Arabidopsis thaliana: one gene and its partners. The main gene of each other region encodes a partner of the protein of the gene in region 2 in a complex. Each region holds a gene or a part of one and is shown on either strand. Other genes may lie near its edges.

What was found.
Region 1: AT3G10820 (region 2) and AT4G09070 share a complex: the UniProt entries of both Arabidopsis thaliana proteins name them as parts of the mediator complex.
Region 3: AT3G10820 (region 2) and AT5G03500 share a complex: the UniProt entries of both Arabidopsis thaliana proteins name them as parts of the mediator complex.

Annotation. Positions count from the first base shown.
Region 1 is NC_003075.7:5,800,527-5,804,217, forward strand, and holds AT4G09070 (TATA-binding related factor (TRF) of subunit 20 of Mediator complex), read left to right. Parts: upstream 1-1,781; coding exon 1,782-1,795; intron 1,796-1,894; coding exon 1,895-2,306; intron 2,307-2,632; coding exon 2,633-2,866; downstream 2,867-3,691. UniProt on the Arabidopsis thaliana protein: Component of the Mediator complex, a coactivator involved in the regulated transcription of nearly all RNA polymerase II-dependent genes.
Region 2 is NC_003074.8:3,385,669-3,392,260, forward strand, and holds AT3G10820 (Transcription elongation factor (TFIIS) family protein), read left to right. Parts: upstream 1-1,531; 5' UTR 1,532-1,689; coding exon 1,690-2,058; intron 2,059-2,169; coding exon 2,170-2,238; intron 2,239-2,351; coding exon 2,352-2,434; intron 2,435-2,731; coding exon 2,732-2,784; intron 2,785-2,862; coding exon 2,863-2,984; intron 2,985-3,096; coding exon 3,097-3,124; intron 3,125-3,208; coding exon 3,209-3,492; intron 3,493-3,576; coding exon 3,577-3,658; intron 3,659-3,742; coding exon 3,743-3,836; coding exon of another isoform or gene 3,837-3,837; exon of another isoform or gene 3,838-3,960; coding exon 3,961-3,994; exon of another isoform or gene 3,995-4,240; coding exon 4,241-4,308; intron 4,309-4,484; exon of another isoform or gene 4,485-4,568; coding exon 4,569-5,025; 3' UTR 5,026-5,335; downstream 5,336-6,592. Other genes in the region: AT3G10840 (alpha/beta-Hydrolases superfamily protein), read right to left, coding at 5,539-5,768, 5,885-6,008, 6,105-6,203, 6,311-6,592. UniProt on the Arabidopsis thaliana protein: Component of the Mediator complex, a coactivator involved in the regulated transcription of nearly all RNA polymerase II-dependent genes.
Region 3 is NC_003076.8:875,615-880,035, forward strand, and holds AT5G03500 (Mediator complex, subunit Med7), read right to left. Parts: upstream 2,762-4,421; 5' UTR 2,160-2,761; coding exon 2,136-2,159; exon of another isoform or gene 2,053-2,135; coding exon 1,912-2,052; intron 1,830-1,911; coding exon 1,760-1,829; intron 1,587-1,759; coding exon 1,420-1,586; intron 1,331-1,419; coding exon 1,257-1,330; intron 1,120-1,256; coding exon 1,059-1,119; 3' UTR 826-1,058; downstream 1-825. UniProt on the Arabidopsis thaliana protein: Component of the Mediator complex, a coactivator involved in the regulated transcription of nearly all RNA polymerase II-dependent genes.

The sequences.
Region 1 (3,691 bases), on a different chromosome or scaffold from region 2:
CTTTTTTTTTTCTCTGTTCGGTTTGACACAATTCGGTTTTTGTTCGAGTTGGTTTTTTATTTCGGTTTTGTTTTTGTTTAAAAACGTATTTTAAATATCAACAAAAAGTGATTACCTAAAATTACAATTTAATGTCATTATATCAAACAAATAATTATCAACTAAGTAATTATTTTTCCTCTATTTTCAGCTCAATTTTTTTTATTGGTTTATTTTTATTTTTTCATCTTGACTAGTATTAAGCAAAAGCGTATCATTCAATTATATAATTGTATCAATTTCCAATTTATTTCTATATAAATTTTTCATTTTTTGAGTGTACTAGGATAAAAAAAAATTATATCATTGGGTGGAATGAAACCTTAATGTTTCATGACTATGCATAAAAAATGAACGAAAGATGAGAAGAAACATGAATCAAACCTTTATTTTTATTTAGATGATTAGATGAGATATATACATTAGGAATTTTGATTCGTTCAGTTAATTTTGTTCAGTTTCATAAAATTTAAATTTGATTTAAGGTTCAGTTCCAATAATTCTATTTATAAGATTTTAAACTATTAGTATTATTCGAATTTGGATAAGTTCGGTTAGATTCATTCATGTTTTCACCACTCATTTCCTAAGAAAACCTTTTTAAAAACAAGGTCATTTTAAGAAACACATAATTTTACACGAAGTCGTTTTAAATGAGGTAGTTTAAACGAGGTCGTTTTATCTTAGTAAAACAAACAAACTCCTATGCTTTTCTCTATATAATGCAGTGTACGAGTCTTAATTTTTCGTTATACTACGTATTCCCAAGAAGATCATCACCAGAAATCTCTTTCATCGGTAAGTGTTTCTCGCAATCTAATCTTGTATTTTGTTTTTATGGCTCGATGATTATTAAGCCTAAAAGTCTTTACTATGCCTTCAACTCATCTTTTTAAAATGATTTAGATAAGATAAAGATAAAAAGCATCGTTTTATAAACTAAATATACTTAGAAGCAGAATTGAGTTGTTTATCCGAGATGTATGAATTTTATATTTAGATTGTATTCAAGAAGTGATATATTTCATATTTGATTCGTTTAGTTAATCTGTTGTCGATCTACTACTATCACAGAACGTGTGATCCCAAACGGATACTCATAGCAGATCTAATGAATTTCTTTAGTTTTTGTAAAAAAATGTTTCTTATTTTTCAATTAATTTTGGTAAATAATTTAATTATAACATTAATTTCTTAGATTTGTTTCCTTTTTATTTAAAGTCAAAAGTTACTTTATTTTTTTCTTATAAGAATTTATATTTTCTTCCCTTTTATCTTGATAAGGGTGAGTACACTTATGTAATTGTGCACATGCACTAAAATATCTAATTATTCTCTATGTTATAATTATTTATTAAAAAATGAAATTTGTATTATGATTCCAAAGTTGATGCATATGTATTATTTTTGGTCTGTAAATTACTTTTAAAAATAAATTTTCCTTTCCATATAGACCACGTTCTATTTCAAATGAAAGAAATGATTAAAAAAATGAACTCCATTTGAGCATTTAAATGTATTTTCCTTATGAACACTGATTGAAATTCTATCAAAAAGTATTTTTTGATTAAATAATTTTTTGCTTTATTGTAAAGTTTTATCATTTTGTTTTTTGGTAAATTATATATCTGAATACAACTATATTATATAAGATATTATTGTTTGTGTATTATTGTAAATTAATAGAGATCATTTTTTTTTAATTTTGTTGTCAAGTGAAATTTGTTGTACCTCCATTAGCCATGCCCGTCAAATGGTAGGTTTGATGATTACATAAACTAAATAACCATTATTGTAATTTCTTTTATAATACGTTAACCTTTTTTCAAATTTCTTTGGGGGAATACTTTTCCAGGCTTTTGCATTGGCAACCAAATCAGGGATCAACATTTAGCAGCCAAATCCTAAACGAAGTAACACAAAGCATAGAGAGTCTCAATGGCGTCAAAGAGGGAACATGGAAAGCCACTCTCAACTATTACAAACCCATGTTGCAAGATCAGGCGAATCAAGCTGAGTTCCCGCGTGAATTTGTAGGAATTTCGCTTCCGGAGGAGCCAGATAAGTACTATTTCGTCATCAGGTCGCAAAGGATCGTCGTGGAAGCAGATTCTTCAATTCAAATGATCATGGAGAGCCTTCAGTCTTACAAATGCAAACTCTCGTTTTACTTTGAAGGGCTTGAGTATCAACTTGGGGATTTTCGTTTGAGAGTTGGTAAAGTTGTTCCTACTCATGCTGAGACCATTAGAGGCGTAGTCATGGAGGTAACAAATTTTATATCTTTTGAGTACGTTGAGATATATTAATAATCAATGTTAATGATTATCTAACACTCTAGTTAATTCATAATTTGGAGTTTGTAATGTAACTCAGTAACTAAAGGTTATTAGCTATGATTGGTAACACACATAATGACGGTTTCTAATGTGATTAGGCAGAAAATTTGTCAATTAAGAAAATTTGCATAATCTACGGTTTTCCATGCAACAAGTTTTCATTATACGAATTTTTAGTGCTATCAACTTATGCCATTATGCTATTATGCACTACTTTCATTTGAAACCTATAATTATGTGTGTGTACTATTTAGGTGGAGTATCTTCCTATATCATCAATGGGAATGGCAAAAAAATTGATGGAGGAGTTCTTGGAGATATGGCAAGAAGCTATGTCGAAAAGGTCGTTGCCGGGTAAGTTTGTGAACAAAGAACTCAACTTTGAAAAGTTTGGACTTGGAGACAACTACACTCCGCAACATACCGCTGTTGGATATGCTTTCTTCATGGCTAATTTGATGGCAGCAATTCAAGCTGGGAGAGGCTAAAGATAATACAACAAAGACTTTTATGAGTTTTTGTGGTATCATTGATTTTAGAAGTCATTAAGGATTGAAAAACAAATGGTAGTTTTAAAAAGTTGGAAGACCAATTTGTAAACTTGAGATTGGAGCAGATTGTGAATTCAGTTTCTTACCAACTTTTTGGTTTGTTTTATGACTGTGAAAACTTTATGAATCTTTTGACCCTAAACTCAATTACTGGTCACTTGTGTCTATAAAATGCATAAATAAAGCGAAAATGTTGGATTACGATTGGGCTTAGTGTTAGTTATTTGGGTCAGTCATTGAGTTGGGCTTAAGGCCCATAAATGAGAAGAATCCCAAATGCAGAATCAAAACGCAAAGAAGTTTTGGCGGTTGCGATTGCATGTTTTCTTCCAAACAGAGCTTACCGGTAGTAACAAACAATATAGAGAGAAAGAAGTGTGAGAGCTACAAGTTTGAAGAAATCGAGTAGAGAGAGAGACAGATCTAGATTCTTCTTCTTCTTCGTCTTCTTCGTCAACCTCTAGAAGACTCGTGTAGGTACGTAGCTTTGAATCTCTTCTTCTGTAACCTGAAATTTTGTTAATTCCTCTTGAGAGTGAAGCATTATCGAGTTTGATCTTCGAGAAATTGTACATAAATCGCTTGTTTCTCTCGTGTTCTTTCTTTGTACTGATTTCAAAACTTGAATCGCAAAGAACAAGCGATAAGATCAAAATCAACTACCAAAATCACTACAGAGAGCTATTTTTCTTTGGATTTTGGTTTTAAACATGTGTTTGATTACGATTCCAGACTGAAATTTGTATCTGAGTCAGTGGATTT
Region 2 (6,592 bases):
AAAAAGATTAAAATAACTCATCGTTTGTAACTCTACTGGTGACTAAGTAACATAAATTCCGGACGGAACAAGGCTTCAAGATCACAAGCCAACGAATTTCAAAGTTGGAAAATGAACTAAATTCGAAGAGATATTATGAGTTAAAAGTCCGAAACTGTTTTGTTATATTAATTTAAAATAGGTTTTACAATTTTAGATATATAAGCCCTAAACAACTTTCACAAATCCAAAATGGATACACTAGAAGCACAATTTGAAAGATACATAAAACACTGAACCCTTACAAACACATGACAAGAAATCGATTAAAAGGCCTTTAGATTCAAATCAAACGCAAATGACGTAGAAACAAATAGTCAAATACAAGTAGTGTTTAAGCTCCATAGCTTAATCTTTGACCCCGTGATCTTGCTTTTGCATAGTAGCTATTTTTGTAGAACCAAAATTATGCAGAAATTTTTACACTGAACCAAAACAAAAATATGCAGAAACAAGATCATGCATGGGTTTTAACATTAAACCAAAAAAAGATCATGAATGAGTCAAAGATTAAGCTATGGAGCATAAACGATAACATGTGATCGGTGGAAACAAAACGAATCATGCAAGTATGGCTTACCGGAGTTAAAATGGATTGATCCGACAAACTTGTGAATCTCCAAGTGCTGAAAGAATATTTAAAATAGAAGAAAAGGAAACTTTTGGAAGAAGAGAAGTCTTTAACGCAACTGAAAATAGAGTCGAGGATGATATCGACGACGAAACTTCAAAAGACAGCTTCAACAACGGGAACATGTGGCTGAAGCTTAACAAAAGAGTCAAAGCACGAAACTAACGAGAAATTTAATGAAAAAAATACAAAAATAATAATTTAATACTAGTACTAATTAAAAAATAGTGCTAAACATCTGTGGGACTATGAACAATGCTTTTTAAAACGACATAATTGCGACACCAAAAACGCGTTTATTTAGATTACCTTTCAAGTAATTCACGTGATAAATGTAATTATCCATAACTTTGAAAAATGAGTACCCCATTGTTGGTATCAGGACATGTGTAATGTGTTAATAATTTACTATTACAGTATGCTCTGAATGTAATGTTGATAACATAACTTTAAAAAAACGAATATCCCATCTTTATACTAGCTAGGCCATGTGACGTGTTTTTCATCAAGGGTCATTATGTCATATAGGACGACACATGTATAGTCTAGTTATTACTAATTTACTATTAACTAAATAATCATTCAGTTAATCATAAGCCTATATCTTTAGAATTAATATATATATTGACAAATTCAATATTTTACTTAAATAAAACAGATGAGTTATCAAGATAAATGATCAAAACTATTACCATTTTTTTTTATAACCTAAGTTTTTTAATGTCGACATAAATTTCTGGCTTTTTAAAATTCTAGGGTCTTCTTCTCTTGCCCTCTTTTAATTGGCTCAAGCTCTGTTTCTTTAAGTTTTCTCGGGAAAGTTCTTGTGGACTTTCTGCAGAAACTTTTGTCAGATTCTCAGGCGAATTTTATTTCCTGCAGAGAAACTTAAAAAAAAAAAAAACTACACAACTAGTACTATATTGATTCGTATTCAAAAACCTAAATTCAAATTTAATTAGGGTTTTGCAGATCGAGGAATTCGGATTCCGGAATCGATTTTCCCTCGCCGTTTCGTGATGGCGAAGATGAGACCATCTGTTTCGTTGGATACTTGGAGAGAGTATTTCCGGCGAGGAGATTCTGATATTTTTGGTATCATTGATCATGCGATTATGGTAGCTGCTGCAGATTGGCCAAAGGAGTTTAAATCCAGGAGTGATAGAATTGCTGAGCTTCTCTTCTCTTGTAAAGTGAGTCGCTGCATTGGTTGTGACCACCTTGAGCTCTCGATAGCTGGAGACGAAGCGGCGGTGGAGATAGTTGGAGTTGGCGGCGGCGGTGATAGGGGTGATTCTGGTGTTGCGACGGGTGAAGGTGAAGAGGCGTCTGTGAGTGTTGATGAGGTTATGAGGATCAGAGATATCTTGTCGAACAAAGACGATGAGGTTTTTAGTCTCTTTGCTTGGATTACATTAAAACTTGTGCTAATTCATTGGTTAAATTTGGAATCTTTGTGTTGATTGTTGAGTTTTTGGTTTCTGTCATCTTTTTTGCAGAAAGATTCTGTGTTACTCGAATCTCTGAGAAAGCTTGAGTCAATGTCTATGAGTGTGGACATTCTTAAGGTTTGTTTTTTTGGTGTTGTTTTGATATTGTATGATTTGGTGTAGTGGAAGTTGCTTATTCTGATGGAGCTTTTCGAGGCTGTGGAGTGATTTAAGTGTTTACGTTCTTGCAGGATACTGAAATTGGAAAGGCTGTTAATGGTCTGAGGAGACATAGTTCCGATAAGATTAGCAAACTTGCAAAGACTCTTTTCGCGTATGAGTTTCATCATTCTCATTGTGTGCTTAGTTTCATTTGTTCTCATACTCTCGCATCTGTGATGTGAATTAAACTTTGGCAAAATGTTCCAAAAAAATTGAACCTCCACGGTTTGATTTAGATGCAAACCAGTTGCCTTGTAGGATGTCTCAAATTGTAAAATGTCATTATAAAAGCCTTGGTTGATCATTAGGGAGCTGCTCTTGTGTTAGCTCAATACTTAGAACATTTTACTCTTCCTTACTTTCTGGCTCCCGAGTATAAAGATTGTGTTTTTATATATGGGATGCACAGAGAGTGGAAGAGGCTGGTGGACCAGTGGATGAACACCCCAGAGGAAATGGCTGGTAAATAGCTCTCTCCTCCTGTTCCGTAGTCAGTGCGAGCAGGTTTTGGTCTAGATTTATAGTAATTGGGTCTTGCAGGCACTGAAGGGACGCCAGAGTCTCTAAACCTTTCAGTAATTGATGAAGAAGAAGCCTTTCCTTCTCCTCCACATGATTTAGATATCTATGCACCTGAACCTAATGGGTTTGAACTTTCTCAGGTCTATTAACATTTTTCCCTCTCATCATATTTTATTTCTGGCATAGACGAAATGTTATCCTGACAAGTTTCCTCCCTCGTCCTTGTTTCATAATGTCTTGGGTCACTTGAAGATCTTAGATTGTTTGGACTGCGATGGAAGTGAGTTAGTATACTCTTTGGTACTCTGTTCTCTACTTGAAAGTTTTCCTATATTTTGACACTCATGGTGGCCACTGTTTTCAGATCCTCGTCACAGTGTGGAGTCCAAACATGAAAGAAAATCGCAAAGTAGTGCGGGGAGGAGACCCAAGGGAACAAATGATGCAAATGTGGTTGGGAGGTACTGCAATGATCAACAGACGAGGAGAGAAGAAGCTGATGTTAGACCTATGAAGCACTCAGCCACAGATGTTGTCGAGCCTAAAAGACAAACAAAGCAAAGTAGAGAACAAATGGTATCCGCAATCCAACGAAAACCAACTGCTGTTACTGAGCAAAAGCGGAAACTTGCTGGACCTCAACAAGATGTGAGTGTTTGAGTTAATAAAGCCGTGGTGTTTGATTATTAATCTGTTTTGTTTCTAATAGCAAGTGTTCTTGTCTTTGTTCAGAAACTCAAAGCTCTGGATCCAGACTCAAAGTTTGAGTTTGCAAAGCGGAAACTCCAAGAGAGCTACCACCAACATGAGAATGGTTAGTCAAATCGTCTTAAGAGATTTCAATATTTCCACTATTACAATACACCTAATTCTTAATGACCCATTTGTTTTTGAACAGCTAAGAGACAGAGGACGATACAAGTACTGGAAACTATCCCAAAGCAAAATAAAGTTCAGAAACCGCAACTCAAGAGACCCGCCACACGAAGATAGTCCATTTTTTCCTTCGGATGATCTATACAATTACTACGACCATTCAGAGGCGTTAATATACAACAAAAGTGCATTGACAGATCCAACATAAACTTCTTAGGATGCTCTATTCTTTTGTCCCAGTATTTATTGGTACTTCTGGTCCAGTGAATTCCCGGTTTGGTCCGGTTTTGTGACAATAGAACCTCATAATTGTGACAAGGGAAAATCCCTTTTTCACTTTCTTCATGTTTCATTATGAAAATAAAAAAGAAAATTATTAGGACAAAAGGGCTTCTCGTATTTGACCATCCCTAAACCTAACTTGCGAGGCAAGCAAACTTTTTAAATCTGTTTATACAAAGATTTTGTAATTTTTAATATCACTTATGAGGTGAAATATAACAGAGTGATAAATTCCTAGGGTTACGAGTTACCTTCCCTCATCCTCAATCTCGCGAATCCTCGTGATAGTTCCTCCCAATTCTCAAGGTACCTACTTCAATTTTCCTTGTTGTAAATTTTGTTTTCCTAGTGCTAGTTATCGATAAACCTGATGGGTTAAACGTTGAGCTGTTAAGAATTCTGGCCTAGATTTTGTACGTCGGGGATACAACCGAAAGTCTTTGATTGGAAATCGAAAAGCCCTAATTTTGTGGCCTTTATTGATAAACATAAGTGAGAGCATAGGTTTGGTAAAACAATGGTCTCTGTTTGCATTGCATAGAATTGAAATTTAGCTGCATATGTAGACATGATGAGTTGATGATTGATATTCCTGTATATTTTGGACTCGTACTTGTGCAGATAGATAAAGCAGAGATGGTGGATGAGATGATGATTTTCAAGAAGATGAGTGTCCTTCTAACTGAAAAGGATTTTGTTGATGCCATCGTATCTGTTTCTCTCAAGGACCTTACGAGATCACTCTTTGTCAGGTTCGAGGCCAAGGCTTGCCCTAAGTTTGACCTTATCCATAAGACTTCCGTCGAGACGGTTAGGTGCGTAGGGAAAACCTTTATGCATATGCTCTCTAAGGTTTCTAGAGAGTTTCCTCCCCGCAATCGAACTCATCCCGGTGGCCTCCTCTATCAGCGATTTGATCCTACTCACTTGTCTCTTGCTCGCCAACAAGTTGCTATATGCAAGGAAACTGATTCACAGTATCCGCATGAGATTGTGATTCACTGGACAAGTGCAAGCGCCTGAAAGTGGATGCTCTTGGTTACATGTTTACTATTGCAATGAGATGCGCCCCTAGTTTGGCTTATCTCGAAAAGTTCAGGCAGTACATGGCTCAGGCGAATGAGAAGAATCTGGAAGATGAGACTGCTGCTACTCTGACGAACAAGAAGCATGTCGCCCTCTTGGCTGAGGAAGACTGCACAGTCCTTTGCACCCCTCGCTTTGAGTTTCAAAATGTTGCCGACTTTGTTCTTCCAGAAACTTTGCGTTGGCTTGACGAGTTGGAGCTTCAAGCCAGCTTCAAGCTCCAAGCTAATCAACTGGACTCTGCAAAACTTGCCCGCACTCGCAAGAAGCACCACATGGTGTATTATTCTCGCTTATATATCAATCTGTTGAAGAATCAATGTCTCTCGGTTATTTTATTCTATATCTATCTAGTCTTTGATATTGTCGACATTTGTTTCTTCAGGTCCAATAACATGAAGAATCTCTCTAAAATTTAGTCTTGATTGAGCTAAAATATATAGTTATACTTCATGATACAATGCCTTGGAACTTCAAGTCCACGTCTTGTTGTTGTGACCCTCCAAAAGCATTCCCTAGAAACTTTGCAACAATAGATATGAATTCATCTGGTTTTTCCTCTTGAGGAAGATGACCACATTTCTTAATTACTTCGAACACTGATCCCGGTATGGCTCGTGCCAGCCTCTCTGCGTTCCATGCTGGCACAATACGGTCCGTATCTCCCGTCACAATCAGAACTATTAGAAACATGAAGATAGTATGATGTCATTGGTTCAGAGTTCAGACATACAATGCACAATATTTGGTTCCAATTTCTAATTCATTGTCAGAATCTTATAGAAAGAGATATTACCAGGGCATTTGATTTCTTGAAGCCTTTTAGACAATGGGAGTTTTTTCTCTGAGCCATTATTATCTGTTAGTGTAGCCACCGTGAATTCCACGAGAGCTTTGTCCCATCCCTTGGCTTTAAGAGGCTGTTTTTTTTGCAACAAATACAATCAAATTTCCTAAATTTTTAACATAACAATGCAGAAGAAATAAAGAAACCTGAGAAAACCCGAAAATCTCACCTTTGTATAACCCTGCACGACATGATCCGTCACTTGTTTTGAGTCATACCACGCGTTCCTAACAGCTGTTACTCCAAATTTATTGATTGCCATCCTCACCTGGTGAAAAAAACAACCACCTTAGAAACACATCAAGTGTTCTGGTCTAACAACATATAAAAAATGACATGACTGGTGAATGAAGCCAAGACAAAAAAAAGCGGTACCAGCATTACTCCAAGGAAGGATCTGAGGAAAGCTGCTAAAGCTTTCTTGTAGAGAGAACTCAGCATATTCGCCATTCCCGTTACCACTCTCAATACTGCTCTTATAACACCTTTGGTTAACTCAACTAGAGTCCCTAGAAAGTTGCTAGTGGGAGCTTCTTTGTCACGGTTCTCTCCAGCATCAGTTGTGGCCACAGGACGGGGAGCGAATATAGCTGGAGCGACGAGAATGAGAGCAGCAACACGCTCCGGGGCTTCAAAGTAAGCATCTAAAGCTACAGG
Region 3 (4,421 bases), on a different chromosome or scaffold from region 2:
GTAATGTAGCGCATCAATAATAAATTGTGGAGCATAAAAATGATAATAAAATGACTATTGTTTGATCTTGGAGTCCAAACAAACTGGATATCTTCAAACCGATGTCGCCAGGCTTTTGCTTCCCGAATCCAAAATTAAGACTCTTCCCGTTGACCAACTGAATGACTTGTTTAAAATCACCTTCAAAGATAGCTTTGGATCCATTTTTGTTAAAAATTAGAAAACAAGGTTGCATTGTAATACCGAAAGCAGATAACGTTAATAGATTAAGCTTACTACTGTTTTTTTCTAACATCCAGAGAATGACATATCATACATGATCAAGGCAGGTGATGATTACTGAGCTTACTTACTTTTAACATGCAAAGACAAAAACAAACAAAGGTAAATACATTATAAAAAAACAAAGAGGTTCGTCTCCTCCTAATTCTCCATCTCCCTCCTAATTCTCCATCTCCATCCTCTTTCTCCTGTCCATATCCATCTTAATCTTCATCTCCATCCTCTTGTGAAGAGAAATAGAGTGAGTAAGAGGAGAGTCCATAAGGAGAAGAAGATTACTTTGATGGCGGATTCGTCCATGCTGATGATAAATTGACAAGACCGACTGCTAGGGTTCCAAAGATATTTGACAGGATTTAGCTTTGAACAAGGTTAATTTTTTTTTGTTCAACTATTTTTTGTTGATTCCCTTATAAAGCTGTTGTTGTTGTTCAGATACTTACGTGTAGTTACGAACAAACTGTCGGGTCTTCAATTTAGTTTAGCCCTGCGTTAAGCCCATATTGGTCTAATCTTCTTATGAATCCGTTATGGTTATAATAGTTCCCGTTAAGCCGAAATTGTAATAATAAATGTTGAACCGCACTAACCGGCGGAACTAAATGCCGGTTCACGGGTAACATTGAATAAAGATGATATAGGCTTTACTTGTTGAATCATGAGATTGCACACGTCTGTCTCTCTCTCTCACACACACAGGATCAATTAAAAAAAGTTTCGAGGGCATAGGTTATTAGCGCTAATTTACACAAAATGGGATTAACAAAAAGTATACTTTATTGACCATCTAAAGTGACGAAAGCATCCTTAAGAAGTCCTTGTGCTTCTTCTCTCCTCCTGCACACAACCAAAACATCAAACGGACCCATAAGAACAACCAACAAAGCTTCTGAAGAATCTTTAAACAGATGATAGATTGATATTAAATTATTAACACACCATAAAGACAGAAAACTTAAGTAGCATATACAAACCTCTTAATGTCTTCCACAGCTTGTTTCCTCTGTTGAATTTGAAGTTCCATAATGTGAATAAGCGTTGCTCTCGCCTATACAACAAGAGAAAGATCAAAACGATGAAAAAACAAAAAGTGTTGAAACCATGTTGTAATTAATCGAAAGATGAGAGCTTCTTTACTTGGTGAGGCCTCAAGGAATTGAGAAGGTGATGCAAGTTCTTGAAGATTGAAGAAATTTCACCAATTCTCTTCGCATATTGAGAAGGTCTGTCAACAAGAACATCAGCAAGCTCCAATATATGTAACTGTAGTTCTCTATTCAGTGACCTGAGTTCCTTCTTGTAATCTACACACAAAGATATTTGAACTCAAAGAGGTACTTTCAAAGAACATAACTTGCAAATGAACTCATGTAATAAGTTTGATTCCAATGAAGGGAAGAACCAAAAACCATACTCTAGACAGCCAATAGCAATTGCATTTTGAGTTTGATTTCACAGAGTTAGGAGAATGACATACCAAGATTAGAATCTTTTGGATAAAGTTGAGGCACTCCTTGTTCTTCTAAGCTTGGAAGAACATCTTCAGTCTACTAACCAAAAAAATTGAAAATTGCTAAAAACACATAAAGATGAAGATTTTAAAGAGGGGGAAATGTGGAGGAGACTCACAGTATAGTTGCCTCCAAAACAGACGTAGGTGCCTTCAATCGGAGGAGGAGGTTCAGGAGCAGAATCAGTGTTTTCTGAGAAATCCTTGTAGAGTCTGTAATATGGAGGAGGAGGTGGATATGTAGCTGTAGCCATTATTCTCTACATATCCAAATCAAAAACTAAGCAAAATCAGTAACAGATTCCTAAAATTAGGGTTTCTAATCAAAAACAAATCCGTCTACCGCCATAAAACAATCTGTTCTCATTAGAATACAACTATGTCATCACTACCAAATAACTCTGCGACCACTAGAAACTAATCTGTCATCACTAGAAACTAATCTGTCATCGTCACGTTGAAGTAGCCGCCACCACCACAACCGTGTTATTCCTAAATCACCACCAATTTGTCCAAAATCGTCAAATGCTTAACAGTAGATTTCAATTGATTCATGAGGAAAAAAGAAAGGTCAATACAAAAAATCCAGTGGCCACAAATGGGTAGGGAGACGAATGAGTTGGTGGCGACAAGGAGAATCTGAGGGAGAGAAATAAAAAAATCCCTTTCACGGGAAGCATAAAAGACAGAGTGAAAATAATAGAACTCACTGGAGATTCGCCAGAGAGATGGCTCGGCGGAGAATTCACGCAGCCGGAGAAGACGATCGGAAGAAGACACGCTCACCAGAGAAAGCAAATCGAGATTTGTTTCCTCTCTTTTAGTTGGGCCTTTAATTTAGTTCAGGCCTGCTTTAAGCCCATATATTCCTAATCTTCTTATTCCTCGTGAAGCTTAAAACGTATTTCTAGAGCCGTTGAGGGATTTGCTATATGGGGGAAGACTCTGTTCCACCCACCTATATCAGAATTCAGAACCATTTTATATGCTTCAAATGACAAAAGAAAAATGTTTTTAAAATATTGGAATTCAATTGTGCAAGTTTCGGTATAATTTGTTTAGGTGATCCTTGCAAGTTGCAACAACTACTTAACGGTTTTTGAGAAGCCTTGTAAAAAAGGTTTTGTTAGGATGGTGATGATGAATGTATGATGGGTGACGACTAATTATGTTTATGATTTTATTTATTTATTTATAAAGTATATGCTTTGCTTAGGTTGAGTAGTGAAGCTAGCTAGTTGGCAAGTAATGGCTTCTTTTGGCGGCCAAGCAATTCTCTATCTCTCTTTCACACACACAATCCTCGACGCCAAGACTTAAATCAATTCCTCCTGATTTATTCATTTTAAAATTGTGATGATACTAGCTTCACAATACACTCAAAAATATTCTTCTTAATGATCTATTGTATGTATAGTAACACGTTAGCAAAAGATAATCATTGAGAGCCAAAGACAACTAATGTGTATAGAGTTGAATGAGTAAAAGTTGGATATCAATCCAGCTCTAAGAAACTCATTATGTAGAATGAATATTAAAAAAACATGTGTTTCTTGAATTTTATAAATTGCTGTCACCGAGTTTATTAGTATACTATACTACAAAGACCTAGACTACAGTTACAAACTACGATAAGGGAGGTTACTTCATCGAATACATATTATTAGCTAATCACAAGATTAATAATGGTTTGATCAAATAATTGGATAACCAAAATAAAAATCAAAGTTTCTTAGAAAGAGGCGCAAACATAGGGAGTGATATTATATATTTAATTCGTTTTAGCTAATATCATTATAACTAAATATTGTATACATAACTAGAATCATGATTCATAATTGTGTGTTGTGTAATTGTGGGTTGGCTCAACTGCACATGAACTGCTCGACCCCAAAATTCGATTGCCTTTTACTTTCCAATTAATTAACTTAATTATTTAATCAGCAACTTAAGTGTACATATATCCGCAATGATTAGTAGTATTAAGAAACAAAAACAGAATTCGACGTATTTTCAAGTTAAATTTGTACTTTAGTAGCTTTTATATATAATAGTTGGTTTCAAATCTTTAATGTAATTTGTTACAAAACGTAATAAGTTTGCAGGAATTTATAATATGCTTGAATTGTGTGTGTTGTGGTACTGTGTTTCGTGTTGAAACTACTTGTGGATGACTCAAGCCATCAATATAAAATTATTTATAAAGTTTTAGGATTTTAGTTAGTGATAATGTGAAATCAAAGGAAAAAAAATCAATAAATTGAGTGGCATATTTAGAATACGCAATCCAGTTTGATTCTTCTTAATATAATACATTACATTCCAAGTGTCAAAATTGTAGTTCATTTTATTAATAAGAAAAAATGGTATATGTAGAATGACACCTTCTTGAACAGAAAACACAGATTTAATTTCATTTTCAGAAAGAAAATAAAATAACATCTTCTAAGATTAGTGTTGACATTGAATCCACATTTTTGTTACTTTAGCTATAATGATGTGTGTCTTTTGAAATTATAAGGATGCTTATGAGTATTTAATAAGTAAAATACTAGTATTTTTTTTTATGTGATTCATAAGACAAGCAAAACAAAAGTTAACCAAAAAAAGAGAAAATCATTTAAAAAAA